2 linked regions of the Tribolium castaneum genome follow. The protein of the gene in region 1 interacts with the protein of each later gene in a pairwise test. Links are inferred from orthologs where the notes say so. Each region holds a gene or a part of one and is shown on either strand. Other genes may lie near its edges.

What was found.
Region 2: the proteins of Vps45 (region 1) and Rbsn-5 interact in a two-hybrid assay, tested with the Drosophila melanogaster proteins (2 studies listed by BioGRID). The link is inferred for Tribolium castaneum from reciprocal best matches to the Drosophila melanogaster genes Vps45 and Rbsn-5.

Annotation. Positions count from the first base shown.
Region 1 is NC_087394.1:20,343,876-20,351,066, forward strand, and holds Vps45 (vacuolar protein sorting-associated protein 45), read left to right. Parts: upstream 1-3,659; 5' UTR 3,660-3,796; coding exon 3,797-5,506; 3' UTR 5,507-5,601; downstream 5,602-7,191. Other genes in the region: IleRS-m (isoleucine--tRNA ligase, mitochondrial), read right to left, coding at 447-619, 668-904, 951-1,314, 1,360-1,464, 1,516-1,714, 3,007-3,151, 3,202-3,324, 3,376-3,546; Sirt7 (NAD-dependent protein deacetylase sirtuin-7), read left to right, coding at 5,773-5,925, 5,975-6,288.
Region 2 is NC_087396.1:24,289,338-24,296,260, reverse strand, and holds Rbsn-5 (rabenosyn-5), read left to right. Parts: upstream 1-2,935; 5' UTR 2,936-2,989; coding exon 2,990-3,125; intron 3,126-3,174; coding exon 3,175-3,588; intron 3,589-3,636; coding exon 3,637-4,391; 3' UTR 4,392-4,522; downstream 4,523-6,923. Other genes in the region: tup (tailup), read left to right, coding at 703-915, 1,933-2,100; uncharacterized protein LOC103313509, read right to left, coding at 4,546-4,733, 4,778-4,904, 4,950-5,134, 5,179-5,433, 5,479-6,923.

The DNA.
Region 1 (7,191 bases):
TTTCTCTTAAAATTTAAGTCTCGCTATAAAAAATATTGTATTATACACGAGGATGAAGATTGTTTATCTACTCGTGAAATAAGTCGACCCGTGACTTTGTCACTTTTGAACTTAACATTTTCACTTGTAGATAAACAATCTCTTTATCGTCTTGTACAAATAAATAACTAATTTTGATTTGTATTTGTTTCATACTCGTGTGTTTGGTGAGAATCAAGGAGGATACTCTTAAGTCCCCAAACTTTTTAAGTGTATACCAAACAGGTTCTTCGAATTTATTCGTAAAAGTATTCATAAAACCCAACGTCCTTGTGTACAGCATATTTTTTAATTAATTTAAAATTATACGTTCAAAATCCATAATATTCTTAGTATAATATTTTTTATCAGATCACGCTCCGGTATGTTACTGTATTAGGGAATCGGTCTTAAAGTTAAACACATACTCGCTAATCAAAACCTCATCATTTGATTTATTGAAGAAGACCGGAATTGGAACTCCCCACTTTCTTTGTCTGCTGATACACCAATACGGCCGTTTTTGTATCTGATTTACCAAGTTGCGTTTATACATTTGGCTGTTGACCTTCGGAATAATTTCAACATTTTCCAACAAGTCCTAAAACGAATAAATTCAGAAGAAGTATACAAGGTAGTAGATACCAACAATTGCTCTATTTTTTATGGAATCTGTATCCAGAAACCACTGCTGACTAGCCCTGATAATGACTGGTTTTTTCGTTCGCCAATCATACGGGTAACTGTGCACATAATCGTGTAAATGAACAATATCCTCTTTAATCATTTGTAAAACTTTTTCTGTTCCGTCTTCTAGCACAAACTTTCCCTCAAGTTCTTTACCAGCATTGGTATTGTAGCACCCTAGATCATTCACTAGATTTTCCTAAAATTTCCAATTAAATCGAGAAAAATTCAAAAAATGTGCTTACAATTTGCATTTTTTCATTCAGAGCTACGAGAAAATCTTCAGGGCCGTGAGCAGGTGCTGTATGTACCAGACCTGTGCCTTTACTTGACGTAGCGTGCGATGATGGTACAAATCTCATGTTTCTGTCTTTATAAATTGGGTGAACGTATGTTAAATGTGACAAAGTTTCACTCGAGAAGTTTTCCACTTTTTCTAGTTCAGTATTTAAAGTTTCACTCAGATTTGCTTGCAAATCGGAGGCTATAATATAAAGACAATTGTCTTTGGAATTTTTTACTAAACAATACTGTAAAGTTGGATTATAACAAACTGTTTGGTTTGCCGGTAATGTCCATGGAGTTGTTGTCCAAACTAAGGCGTAAACCCTTTAAAACATTTTTACTCCGCTGTGGCTTAAATTTGTAACTTACTGCTCATTGCTTCTGTTAGGAAACTGGTTTACTTTTAATCTAACGAAAACACTTTTGCTTGTATGATGTTCATTATATTCCAGTTCAGCTTCAGCTAAAGCTGTTCTGAAATTGTTTATAGTACGTTTAAAATGAAAATAACTCAGTATTTTCTACCTTGATGAAGGTGACCAATAAATGGGTTTAAAATCTCTATAAATGAGGTTCTTTTGATAGAGTTTGTTAAATAATTTCAATTGTATTTTAACGTAATCAGGATTATAAGTGGCATAATGGTTATTCCAATCACCCATTACTCCCCATGATTGAAAAATAGTTTTTTGGTCCTTTATAGTGTTTTTTGCAAAACTCCTAGCTAAACACAAAACAATTATATCGGGAGTAAAGTAATAAAAACGTGGTCCAGAGTGTTGTGAAAATTTCGTGTCCTGCGTATATTATGTTTAATCAAAGGACAAATTATTATACAGAATACACGAACAGAATTTGTTGTTTGTGCAACACCTTTTTCCATTGTATATCAGACGTATCATTTGCAAATCAGAAAGCATAATTTTTAATTTATTATAAGCACAAACAGTTGATACTTTTTGAAATTTATCTGACGCATTTTAAGCTACAATTAGAAAAGGTATAAAAAAGATTGGTTTTAAATGAAATGATTCGTAAATTTGTAAATTTGCCAGATGACTGACAGGTACTGACGTTATCTTGGTTATCTCCATAAAATTTTCACAGCACGCTTGACCACATTTTTTTACTTGCAGTTCGATAGAACGTATTCCAAATCTGGTGGCAAACTGACATTGTCAAAAATGAGTGAATTTTTGCATTAAATATATGTTTACAATTGAAAAAGAAATTGCCCGTAGGCGTCGTAATACAATGTCTTTCAAATCCACTGTTAGTCTTTAAAAAAATATAATAAGATACGTAAGATGAAGAATAACATAATGAACAAATTATTAATAATAACAGTAATATTTCTGTGTCTTTGTCCTCAAAATTTATTATATGTATTAGAATTCATAGTAGAATTGCTCCATTTCACTCCAAAAAATTCAAATGCGCTGTTGCAAAATTCTACTACATATAAATGAAATGGGATATATATCCCATGTCAGTAAATTTGAATTTGGGTTCCAAAAATGAAGCAAAAATTGACAGTTTTTGGTGGGTTTTCAAAACGTGTCGCTGGGATTTAGTTTAACACAGAATTCGTTTCCTTTACAGAAACTCTCTATTTGTGCTTTATTTTTCACTCAGAAAAATTCACTGTTGCAATTCTATTGTGAACTGAAATTTGATATACTAGCTGTTTCAAAACTATAAAAATGCCAACGTCGAATTTTCTCTTCAAATCAGTTGTACTTCAAAAAATTGATAGCTAATGTAATTTACAGTTTCAATGAGAGATCTAATCATTAATAACATTAATAACTATTTTGCAATTCTATCCATCTTAAAAAGAAAAATAATACGGTAAGATACGACATTGGTGTTGGCTAATATTATTTATTATTGTTAAAATGACAACTAATTTCATAATTTTAACTAAGTTGGTGCATTTCAAGTCTTTTACGTCACTGTCAGTTCGTCACCAGATCCGGAACAAGTGGGTAATTTGTAGTAACACAGTTGATTTACCTTTAGATCTAATTTCTAATGCTTCTGCGCCAGGTTTTGATAGTGCTTTTAATTCAATTGGTAGCCCATGACAATCCCACCCTGGCACATAGTGGACCTTGTGCCCTTTTAAAATATGATATCTCAAAATTGTATCTTTAAGAATCTGCAAATTTCAAATATAATTAAGCCTAAAAAGTAAAAATGGTCTATTACTTTATTAAGAGCATGCCCCATGTGCAGCTTTCCGTTTGCGTATGGGGGTCCATCGTGTAAAACAAACTCAGGCTCCGATAAGTAACTTCTTTGCCACTTGTACAACTGATCAAATTCGGCAATCTAAAGACGTTTGAATCACAAATGAACCAGATACATAAAAATATTACTTGCAGTAGTAATTTTTTCGTCACGTTCCACCAATTTTTTGTTCTCTAACCTCAATGGAAATTTGGTTTTTGGCAAAAATATTGTACTACTGTACTTGTTTTTCTTTTCATTTTGTGTGCAGTAATAACAAAAATTCACATGTCTTTTTTGTCGCAAAATTAATCGCAAAATCATTTTCTCGGCTACTTTTCAAATAAGATAACCTGAATTAACCTCACATTTTTTTTTTACACAGATGAACTACGGTGGCGTAGCTCCAGTCAACCGTAGAAAGTAGATTGTTTGTACCAAAACTGTAGTTCTACTAACGTTGACGTCTCTAGTTTGACGTCTCGAAAATCGATTCCAATTTGAAGAAAGATGATAAAGCCGCTTTTACCTACTTCTGTTATTTAATTGTTATGCCAAGAGTTAGTTATTAAAGATGAACCTAATAGCAGCAGTAAAGGCATATGTCACCAAAATGACCGAAGAGAGCGAACCCGGAATGAAAATCTTATTAATGGACAAGGAGACAACCAGTGTCATCAGTATGGTTTACGGCCAGTCTGAAATTCAGCAAAAAGAGGTTTTCCTGCTCGAGAGATTGGATTCACCAAACCAGAGCAATTCGTTGGGGCTGCGCTATCTAAAATGTTTAGTCTTCCTCCGCCCCACGCAGGAAAACATTGGGTTATTGTGTAATGAATTGCGTTATCCCAAGTACGGCGCTTACTACATCTACTTCAGCAACATTGTGGCCAAAGCTGACATCAAGATTTTAGCTGAACATGATGAGCAAGAAGTTGTTAAGGAAGTTCAGGAGTTGTACATGGATTATTTAGCTGTGAACCCTCATCTGTTTTCAATAGGTTTACCAACTTGCATGAACAGTCTGTCTTGGAACCCTACAGCTCTCCAAAGAACAGTTCAAGGAATTGTTGCTGTTCTCCTCTCATTGAAGAAGAGTCCAGCAATCAGATATCAAGCCAATTCAAAGCTTTGCAAAGACCTTGGAACACGAATTGACGAAGTTATGAATAAAGAATCGTCATTGTTTGCGTTCGGCCAAAACAGCCACCCTTTGTTGCTCATTTTGGACCGAAGAGATGACCCAATGACTCCTCTCCTAAACCAGTGGACATATCAAGCTATGGTACATGAACTATTAACAATCAATAATAATCGCGTCAACTTATCGGGAATCCCTGGAGTCGGTAAAGAATTATCTGAAGTGGTTTTATCAGCAGAACAGGACCCATTTTATGCCAAAAATATTTTTCTGAATTACGGCGAAATTGGACAGAATATCAAACAACTAATGGATCAGTTCCAAGCCAAAGCCAAGAGCCACCAAAAAATTGAAAGTATCGCGGATATGAAGAATTTTGTTGAAGCTTATCCACAATTTAAGAAACTCTCAGGAAACGTTACTAAACATGTGACAGTCGTTGGTGAGTTAAGTTCAATGGTCAATAAATACCACCTACTTGATGTGTCTGAAATTGAGCAGGAGATTTCCTCACATAATGACCACTCATCACATTTGCAAAGCATCAAGAAGCTAATAAACAATGATAAAGTTAGAAATACAGATATTGCAAAATTAGTGATGCTTTATGCGTTACGCTATCAAAATCACAGCAACAATGACGTGGTGGGACTTATTGAATTGCTAAAAAAGAGAGGAGTTTCCGAACGTCTTATTAAGAATATTGTCAATATATTGGAATATGCGGGTTCACACGCTAGACAAAGTGATTTTCTCAACGTGGAAAACGCCCTTCAAAGCACGAAGCGGTTCTTTAAGGGATTAAGTGGAGTTGATAATGTATACACGCAACATAAACCTTTAATCCATGAAACCCTTGAAGAATTGGTTAAGGGACGATTGAAAGACAGCCTTTATCCCTACGTTGGAAATCATTTTCTCAACGGGAGACCTCAAGACATCATCATTTTTATGGTCGGAGGCACAACCTACGAGGAGTCTTTAACTGTACATTCCTTCAACAAAAGTAATCCGAGCTTTAATATTGCTCTTGGAGGCACAACAATCCATAATTCTACGAGCTTTTTAGCTGAAGTTGAACAAGCTACGAGAAATCTACCCAGAAAACATACCAGAAATATCCGTAATGTTAGATTTGACTAATTTCGGTACAGACTTATGAGAATTGTATATTTTATTTATTTATGTTGTTATGTAATAAATAATAATTGATTATCTAATAAAAGGATAATAAAGCATTTTGAGTGTGTTTGAATTTCGCGGGTGTTTTTAGTGTTATTCTAGGGCCATCAGCATTGCCAATAATGCCAATACAACAATTGTCAAACAGGTGAAAATGGACGTGAGGGGCTGGCAGTTTGTTTATGTAAAATGTTGCAACAAAAACACTAATAATACAGTTAATTAAAATGGAAAACGAAGTAAATGTTGTGGAGAGTCTCGAGAATGTTGGTATGGACGTTGAAGAACGAATGATGAAACGATGTAGACTACCTAGAAGACAAGTAGTGCAATCAAAGAGGTTCTGTGCCAAAGATGAGAGAAACGCATCACTGAAAAAGGTTTATTGCTTGTAAATCGAGCGGGCTGTTAATATATTCTTCGTTGTAGGTTTCTGTTATCCTCCAGAAATCGGAGACTGATCGAACTTTTGAAGAAGCTCAGGTATTAAATGAATGCTCTGAAGTAGTCGAAGAGGTCCAGATGCGGTGGCGTAAGCGAGACGTAGCCAAACGAAGATTAGAGGAATTTGAGGAACCTCCAGAAGTGTTGAAAGAAAAATGTCTAATCCTTGCACAAGCTATAGCACAGGCACAACATCTGGTAGTTTACACTGGAGCTGGAATCAGTACTGCAGCTAAAATTCCAGATTATAGAGGTCCTAATGGGATTTGGACAAGGCTTCAGCAAGGAAAAGACATTGGGTGAGTACCAGTTTACCAACTCTGTCAAAAGTTTTCGAAAAATTTATTCATAAACAAAGTTCAGAAAACATTCTGTGTGACAACCAGTCAGGTTTTTATGTTAGGTAATTTAGTAAATAAGCCGGTGACAGACTTGCAAGCATTACAGTAATTTCATTAGATTTTGCAAAAAGTTAGCTTTTTATGAATTCGATGAAAATGCAGTTTTGTTATTCTCTTTCTACTTCCAAGATCGGTATTAAGTTGTAAGAAGCAAAAATCTTATTTAGCGCACATAACTTAAGGTGTGCCCCAAAGTTCAGTTTTAAATCCAATCCTTTTTTATTAATTAAAAGTACAGGATGGACCCGATATATAACCTGCTAAACAAATTCTGAGTCACTAGAAAGATTCCACAAGTCCAGAAAACCTTTTTTGTATGGTCACACACATTCGACGGTAATGAACACAGTCATAGTCAGGAATTAATTGTCAGTACTTGTAAGTTTATCTATGTCCAAGCAACTTGAATCATTTGTAATCAATATTTGTAACGTAACAAATCTGACTAATCAAATTAAACTAATGGCATTTTTAATAATCTATTATTTTTACCTCGATAACGAAAAAAAATTGTGTATAAGTTCTACTCATAGTCACCTATTAGCTATTTCAAAACTATAAAAACGCCAACGTCGCATTTTCTCTCAAAATTAGCTGTTATAAATTATTCAGTGCACTTCAAAATAATAACAGCTAATGTAATTTATACTTTCAATGAGAGATCTAATCATTAATAACTATTTTACAATTTTATCAATCTTATTTAACAAAATTATTTGGTAAAATTTCGATTAATTAGTATTTTCATATTTTTTATTTTATTTTTTTGATATTATATTCTTAATTAATTAATATTAATTA
Region 2 (6,923 bases), on another chromosome or scaffold:
CGTACCTCATTACAAATATTCTTTGTTAAACCTTAACATTGTAACTCACTGTACTACAACTTTTAGCGCGGAGTACTAATCGTAACTCCCTAAAAATAGTACCTTTACCAAAGAGTCGTGGTTTATTTTTCCACAAGTGTATTAAAAATGAGTCGAAAAAGAAAGTTTCTTGTTTTTACAATCCCATTGGGGCAAGTCAATGTGTCGCACAGCCGTACACACAACCGTGTTATTATTGATTAGTGGCGTAGCATCCCAACAGATTGCCCAGTCTATAATTGAATACCCCCCACCTCTCAGGTCGTTCACGTCGTAAATCTCAGGAGGCGTTTCTTATCAGCTGAGCGTGTCCCCGCCTCTCGTCGTCAACCAATCGTCTGCGTCACACATGAGCTCAACCGGTCGATTTCGCTTTTTTCTGAGGGATATAGAGGGGGTCGTGTCTTTCGGTTGGCACTCACTGGCCCAACATTTAAATCGCAAACATGACTCAAACTAGTTTTTTAACCTTGGAGAAGATGACTTCTCATTGCATGCCCCTTGTTGTCTCGGCATGTTATTTATGGGTGGTATGAGAAAACGGATGGCGGTTGAAGAATAATTCCAGTTAAATTAACAAATATTTAATGCTCTGGTTGTTGTTTGTACCGTTGTAAAATTGTACTTTTTTATGTTTCCCGTTTAATGTCTAACATAACCCAGTATTACGTGCAGGATGGGCGAAAATTGGGTTACGGTGCCATGCAGGGTATCCCAATGGTAGCGTCATCACCTGTACGACACGATTCACCCATCGGTGTCCATCCCCTTGAAGTACAAGCTTACCAACCACCATGGAAAGCCCTATCAGATTTCGCCCTTCATGCAGACTTAGAGCAACCCCATCAGCCGGCCTTCCAGCAGCTCGTCAACCAGGTAATAAGCAAATTCCCCCATCGCCACATACTTTATTTTATTATTACATCAGAAGGAAAATTTTGCATCGGTTATTAAATTAATCACTGCTTGTTTGCTTCGCCTAATTTAAGGCATAACAGTAAAAAATTAAGACAAGAGAAAACATTATTTCATGCATAGGTAATATAAATATCTGTAAAATAAATTGCTGTGATTTAGACATAATAGGTAGGTACCTATTCAATAATCCATAAAATTATTATTTTAGGCAATAGCTTTCAGTCAACAAAATATTTTTTATTTTCAGCTGCAATACCTAATAAAGCCGTCATATAGGTACTACTTAGTTGGTTGTTTGGCTGACAATTCTTACATGCGGTGCGACGGTCTTAAAATTTGCTTAATTAATTAATGTTTCATTTTTCTATAACTAGATTATACCGTGTTATTTCGCTTCTCGTGCAAAAATGAAGTGTTTATTCTATTCAATAATATCTAGAAATGTAGCTATGAAAAAAAATGCACTTGAGAAAGAGAAATTTTATATGAGAATGTCATTTTTTCAATAAAATAACGGATACTCGTAGGAGAAATAAGTCGAAGAAAAAAAAAGAAGAAACTGCAAACTATTTAAATACTTATTTATTAAAATTTACTTACAAGCCATTGTCCAGCACGAAGGAGACAAAGGAAATATTTGCTAAAGCTGTTATACGTAAAGAAAATTTTTACAAAATGTTATTTTCCGCTTTATTTGAAATTTTTTTGAAACATTACAACTCTCGGAACTATTATTTCATCGTCCAGTGAGTCAAGAGATACCTATTAAGTATGGAAAACAAAGTTTTAATTTTTTATGTTTGTGTTTTTGTGCCGTTATTGATAATGCCGTAACAGGCGAAACTAGTCGAATGAAAATAAATTGAAGAAAGTCAGGATTCCAATCATTTATGATAATTTTTAACGTTTTTCTTTTAATGAAAGAAGTTTTTCTCTTCGTAATTTGTAATATTGCTAATAATTTTTGTCCAACAGATGCATGGGTACGACCTGCCGCCCCCGTCGATGGGCCCCGCCACCGGCCCACCCCCGGGTATGCTGCCCTCATCAGCGCCGCCGTCTGACGTCATGACGCATCCCGACAGCACCGATAGTTACGTTACCTACCTCGAAAGCGACGAGAGCCTTCCCGCCAGTCCCTAACACCCCCACAACTAGCCGTCGCCGCTTCCGCCCCTAAACGCTCTCACACCCCTTCTCACCTCTTTCCTCCTTTACCACCACCAAGGACTGATTCGGCGGCTGTGCAGACCACCACCCTAGTAACCACCACCATCATGGCTACAATTTCAGGACGATAAAGGAACGAACAAAACGAACAATCACTTTTTTGGTTTTTCATCATCACAATAAGTGGCCAGAACGAATCTCAATTTAATCAAAATCAAAATTTCAACACATATCGCCACTTTGCGTTGATCTCACTCGAGAGTCATCGAAGTTTTCACATGGTTTTTGTTGGCCAGTCTCAATATTCCTTGTTTTACGTACAGTTGGAGAAAAAATACTGAGTGGTATTTTTTTCCGGCTTTACAGTTGTATCATTAGATGTTTTGTTGATGTTGTTATTGTCGGGGTATGCGTGAAGCAGTTTTTTACTAATACACTGTACCATATTGTAAAATTATATATCTAATGTAACATTTGATTGTACAATTTGTTATGGAAAATCTAACTTTGTCGCTAATTTGTAGGTGTTATTAATTTTAGATTTACTACTGTGCATTCGAATGTATGATATTTTTACAGAGCTCTGTATCACATAATTTATTGCAATGAATTTATAAAACTGTATTTGATAAGAAATAAAACAGCAAGTTATCTGTAAATAATGTTACATTAAAAAATTAATTTGTAAATAAATACATGAGATAATCGCGCGCCTTTTATTTCCGTCAACAAAAAAAATGACAGTCAGCAGAAGTCAGTCAACAAAATCCAAGGTTGCCAACCCAAACAGTCATTTTCAATCACTCGTATTACGTTGTCAAATGTCAATTAAACGTCAGTTTGACATGTTTGTAAAGCGATAATGGCTGAAGCAAATTTGATAAAAGAGGGCTTCTTGTGCCCCATTTGCCACAAAGACTTGCGTTCCCCGAACAATCTGATTGCCCACTTCCAAGACTTACATTCCGAAGAACAAGACATCCTAAAATCCATCAAAGGTGAGGTTATGTCAGCTGTTCTCAACACTTAAACGTTCAATTTTCACAGATTTGTACGGCAAAGCCAAGAAAAAGATATTAAAACTTGACGAACAAGACTTGGAAGTTTTCAAAAATGAAATCACCTTAGAAAAGTATTATTTAGAGATAAGTGAGCCGCAAGAACCCGGTCAGATCCGGAGTCACACTGATTATTTCAAAGCCGTTCGTAGAGAACGACTCGATCATCGAACCACCGAAACTAATAAACTTATTATTAGGTTGGATAGGTTGTTGAGGTTCTATGGGTCGGATCGTAAACAGCAAGAGCAGGAGTTGGTGGCTTGGTTGGATGGTTCCACAGTGACACGCTGTCCTTCATGTGCGTCTAGTTTTAATATTACAAGGAGACAGCACCATTGTAGGTTATGTGGAAGCATTATGTGCAACGCGTGTTCCTATTTTTTGCCATATGAGACGGCTCGTAAGTCATTTTTTAAACACCAAGATACAGTATAATTTTTCATTCCAGAAGCGATAGTTGCCCCCGTTCACAACGTGGACGTAAACAACCGGGAGCAAGTCCAAGGTAAGGAACCAGACAGCCTCCGTATTTGCAACCATTGCCTCGACATGCTCGAGAGTCGCAGACGCGTGCAACTCGAACAAATGAGACAACCAATAATTTGCCAATTGTACAACCACCTACAAAACCTCAAATCCCAAACTCAGAGCTCCGTTGATTTGTATTTAAAAATGTACAATTCCCTAACGTCCGGTGAGACCACGTTTCAACTGCAAGACACTCAATCTTTAAGGGCTTCAATTGCCAAAAAAGCCGAATCAATTGATATTTTGAGTAAAAAAATCGCATCCTTGCCTGTGGACGAAGAAACGCCTAAAGTCGAACTACTACAAAATAGTATAAGACGGGGGACTTCTCATTACATTAAAGACTATTTATTAACACTACCAGCGCCCCCTTCTGTCCAAGAACTCGAGAGAATTAAACGCGAACGCTCTCTGAGGAACACTGAAGAGGAGAATCAATTGGCAGTCAAAACGAACATAAAAAGAGTGACAGTGACCACAGGTTGGTCACCTGCAGCTGTGAGTAATGAAAATACCGAAACTGAGGACCCGCTAATTGAGCAAATGAATATTGTGCGGAATTATATTGACCAAGCACGGAAAGCGCAACGATTTGAAGAAGTGGCCTCGCTTCAGGAGAATTTAAAAATGTTGAAGGAGACATACAAACAGCAACAATTGACGAGAGATAGCTAAATAAATTAACCCATTTTTTGGAACTTGGTGCTGAACAAATATGAAATACTGTAATTATTTATTAACTGCATGTTCACTAGTCACACTATTGCACTGTATCTATTATTATTTACCAAAATATATTTTTAATTAATACATAATTAAATAACAAAAATCAATTTTCTCTTAAATTGTGCAAATTTGGTTTTGCGACCTCTTCATCATAGAATCGATTGAGGAAAATTAAGGGAGTGAGTGTCGGTCTTCCGTGAGCGCATTGAAACGGCAACTTGCACTTTGCCAAATTTTTCAAATGTGCAAAACACTCGTTTTTGGTCAAAGAATCTCCGAATTTAATTGCACCTAAAAATAGTTTTACACTAAAATTAATTTGTCAATCGGCAAACCTCTGCAAGCCTCGGAATTGACGATATTTTGTATAAGACTCGGAGTATTTACCATAATTTCGTTGTTAGTTTTCAAAAGATCAACAATTTCTTTGATCAAAGTCTGAGTCAAAAACACAATATCGACCTACAAAACTGTGACAATTACTACAACAAGTGCAACCAAATGTACCCCTTTTTTCGACTTGTTGTAAAGACACAGCGGCACTTGATAAATGGTCAACCCGTTGGTGAAAAACTCCAAAACGAGACCTAGCGACTTGAGATTAGTTTTTTGTCGCTTGAGGAGCGTTAAGTCACTTTGTGGCAAAAAAATTGTAATGTCTTGGTCAAGTTTCGTGGATGCGTTTTTGTAACCTGTAATTATCTCAGTTGAAGTTTTTACACAAGTGTGACACGACCTTCCGATAGCTCCTCCAAACGCACCCTCTCGTGCACAGCATGTTGGTCAAACAACACAACCAAATTCCTCGTCCGTTCCCACACTGCAATAAATTTGCAATCAACCTGGCCGATAATATCAACATTTTTGAATAAATCCTTCGTGAAGCTTATATTTTCAAAATCCTTGACATGTCTATTGTACGCATTAGGAACCTCACTTTCGATTAATCTCGACTTTTCCACATAAATTTCATCGAAGAATTTCTTCGGATCTGTAACACGTTCATGTGACAAGGCAACGTTTCGTAAACAATTACCCCCATCATCAAGACACTTCTGCCACTTAACCATCAACAACTCGTCTTCGTACGATTGTACGAGCGCATTTTGTAGCTGTTGCCTCGATTTGGGGCTCATGTCGTCCACTTTGCCACAATCTTTCAAAATCGGAGACAGGCCTTTGGGGACAAAGTCAAAGCGTTCGGTCATTTCAAAAGTAATGTCGTTGCCAGTTTTCCTTAACCAAAGGTTCTGATGTTGCGTAAATGTGGGGGCTATGACAATATCCTCAGTTTTGTTTTTCTCAATTTCCTCATCCAGGGTTATTAAAAGCCCACTTTCGGATGACTTATCAAATAAATCTCGCGACTCTTCCAAAAGGGTGTGTTTCGGGGTTTGAACCCTTAATTTACAACTCTTAGATTTTTGAGGCGTGAAGTATTTACTAGTATGTGATTCGTTCAAAATTCTTTTCGTATTGTCTTTTTTAATAAACTTAAAATCAACTGTATTATCCAAGTCATTTGACCAGTTCTCTTTATTCGAATCAATCTCAAATTTGCTAGCTTTGGCCTTCTTAGCAAAATACGGCGATTGCCTCACTTGATCAAACGTGTTTTCATTAGCAAAAATATTAAAACTGCTACGCCTTGTATTACGAAAATCGAACAATTTCTTCGGCTGATTGAAATGTGTGGGCAAATCTGGCGTTTTAAAATGAAAAGTCGGTAAAGCTTCGACGTTGGAAAAATCAAAATCATAGTCAGACACATATTTAGACATAGCTTTTCGTGGTGTGACCCCAAATACCGGTATGTTCCCCGGTCCTGCCTGAATACCCACTGAAACCATATTCTCCTTAATCGGAGATTTTTGGGAAAGAGCATTTTTTTCATTTGGTGATTTATCTAAAGTAGTTTCCATATCCACTACATTATTTAGTTCGGGTTCAGTTTCATTAGCCTTATCTTCAGGCGGGAACACGTCCAGTGACATTATAAACATATCCATAATCACGTCTTTCCCCTTCTTTTCGTTATCAGGGTAATTGGTATAGAGGCTATTATCCATTATACCTTCGCTCTCCCTTTTCTCCCCCTTTTTCACCTCAATGGGCAAAGCCACCTTCGTTTGCTTGGACACAACCCTCGGTTCCTCAAAATAGGGCGTATCCTCGACAATTTTCGCCGATTTATTCGACACCAACTCTTCCAAATCCTCACTTTTGCGCTTCGTCCCGAAGCCTTTCACAGCCCCTCCTATCTGGGACACGCCAAACTCACTCAAAGGCCTGTGCGTTTTCTTGGCCACTATTTCGGAATCACCCCCTTTGAATGTACTGATCATTTTTTGGAGACATCGCTTCACAAGATCAATTTTTCTGAAGAACACAAGCGTCTTTGCTGGTTCTAGAGTGATATCAATGTCGGAGTAGGGACACTTGATGTGTATGACAAAAACGGGGTTCTTCCTCTTCGGATCA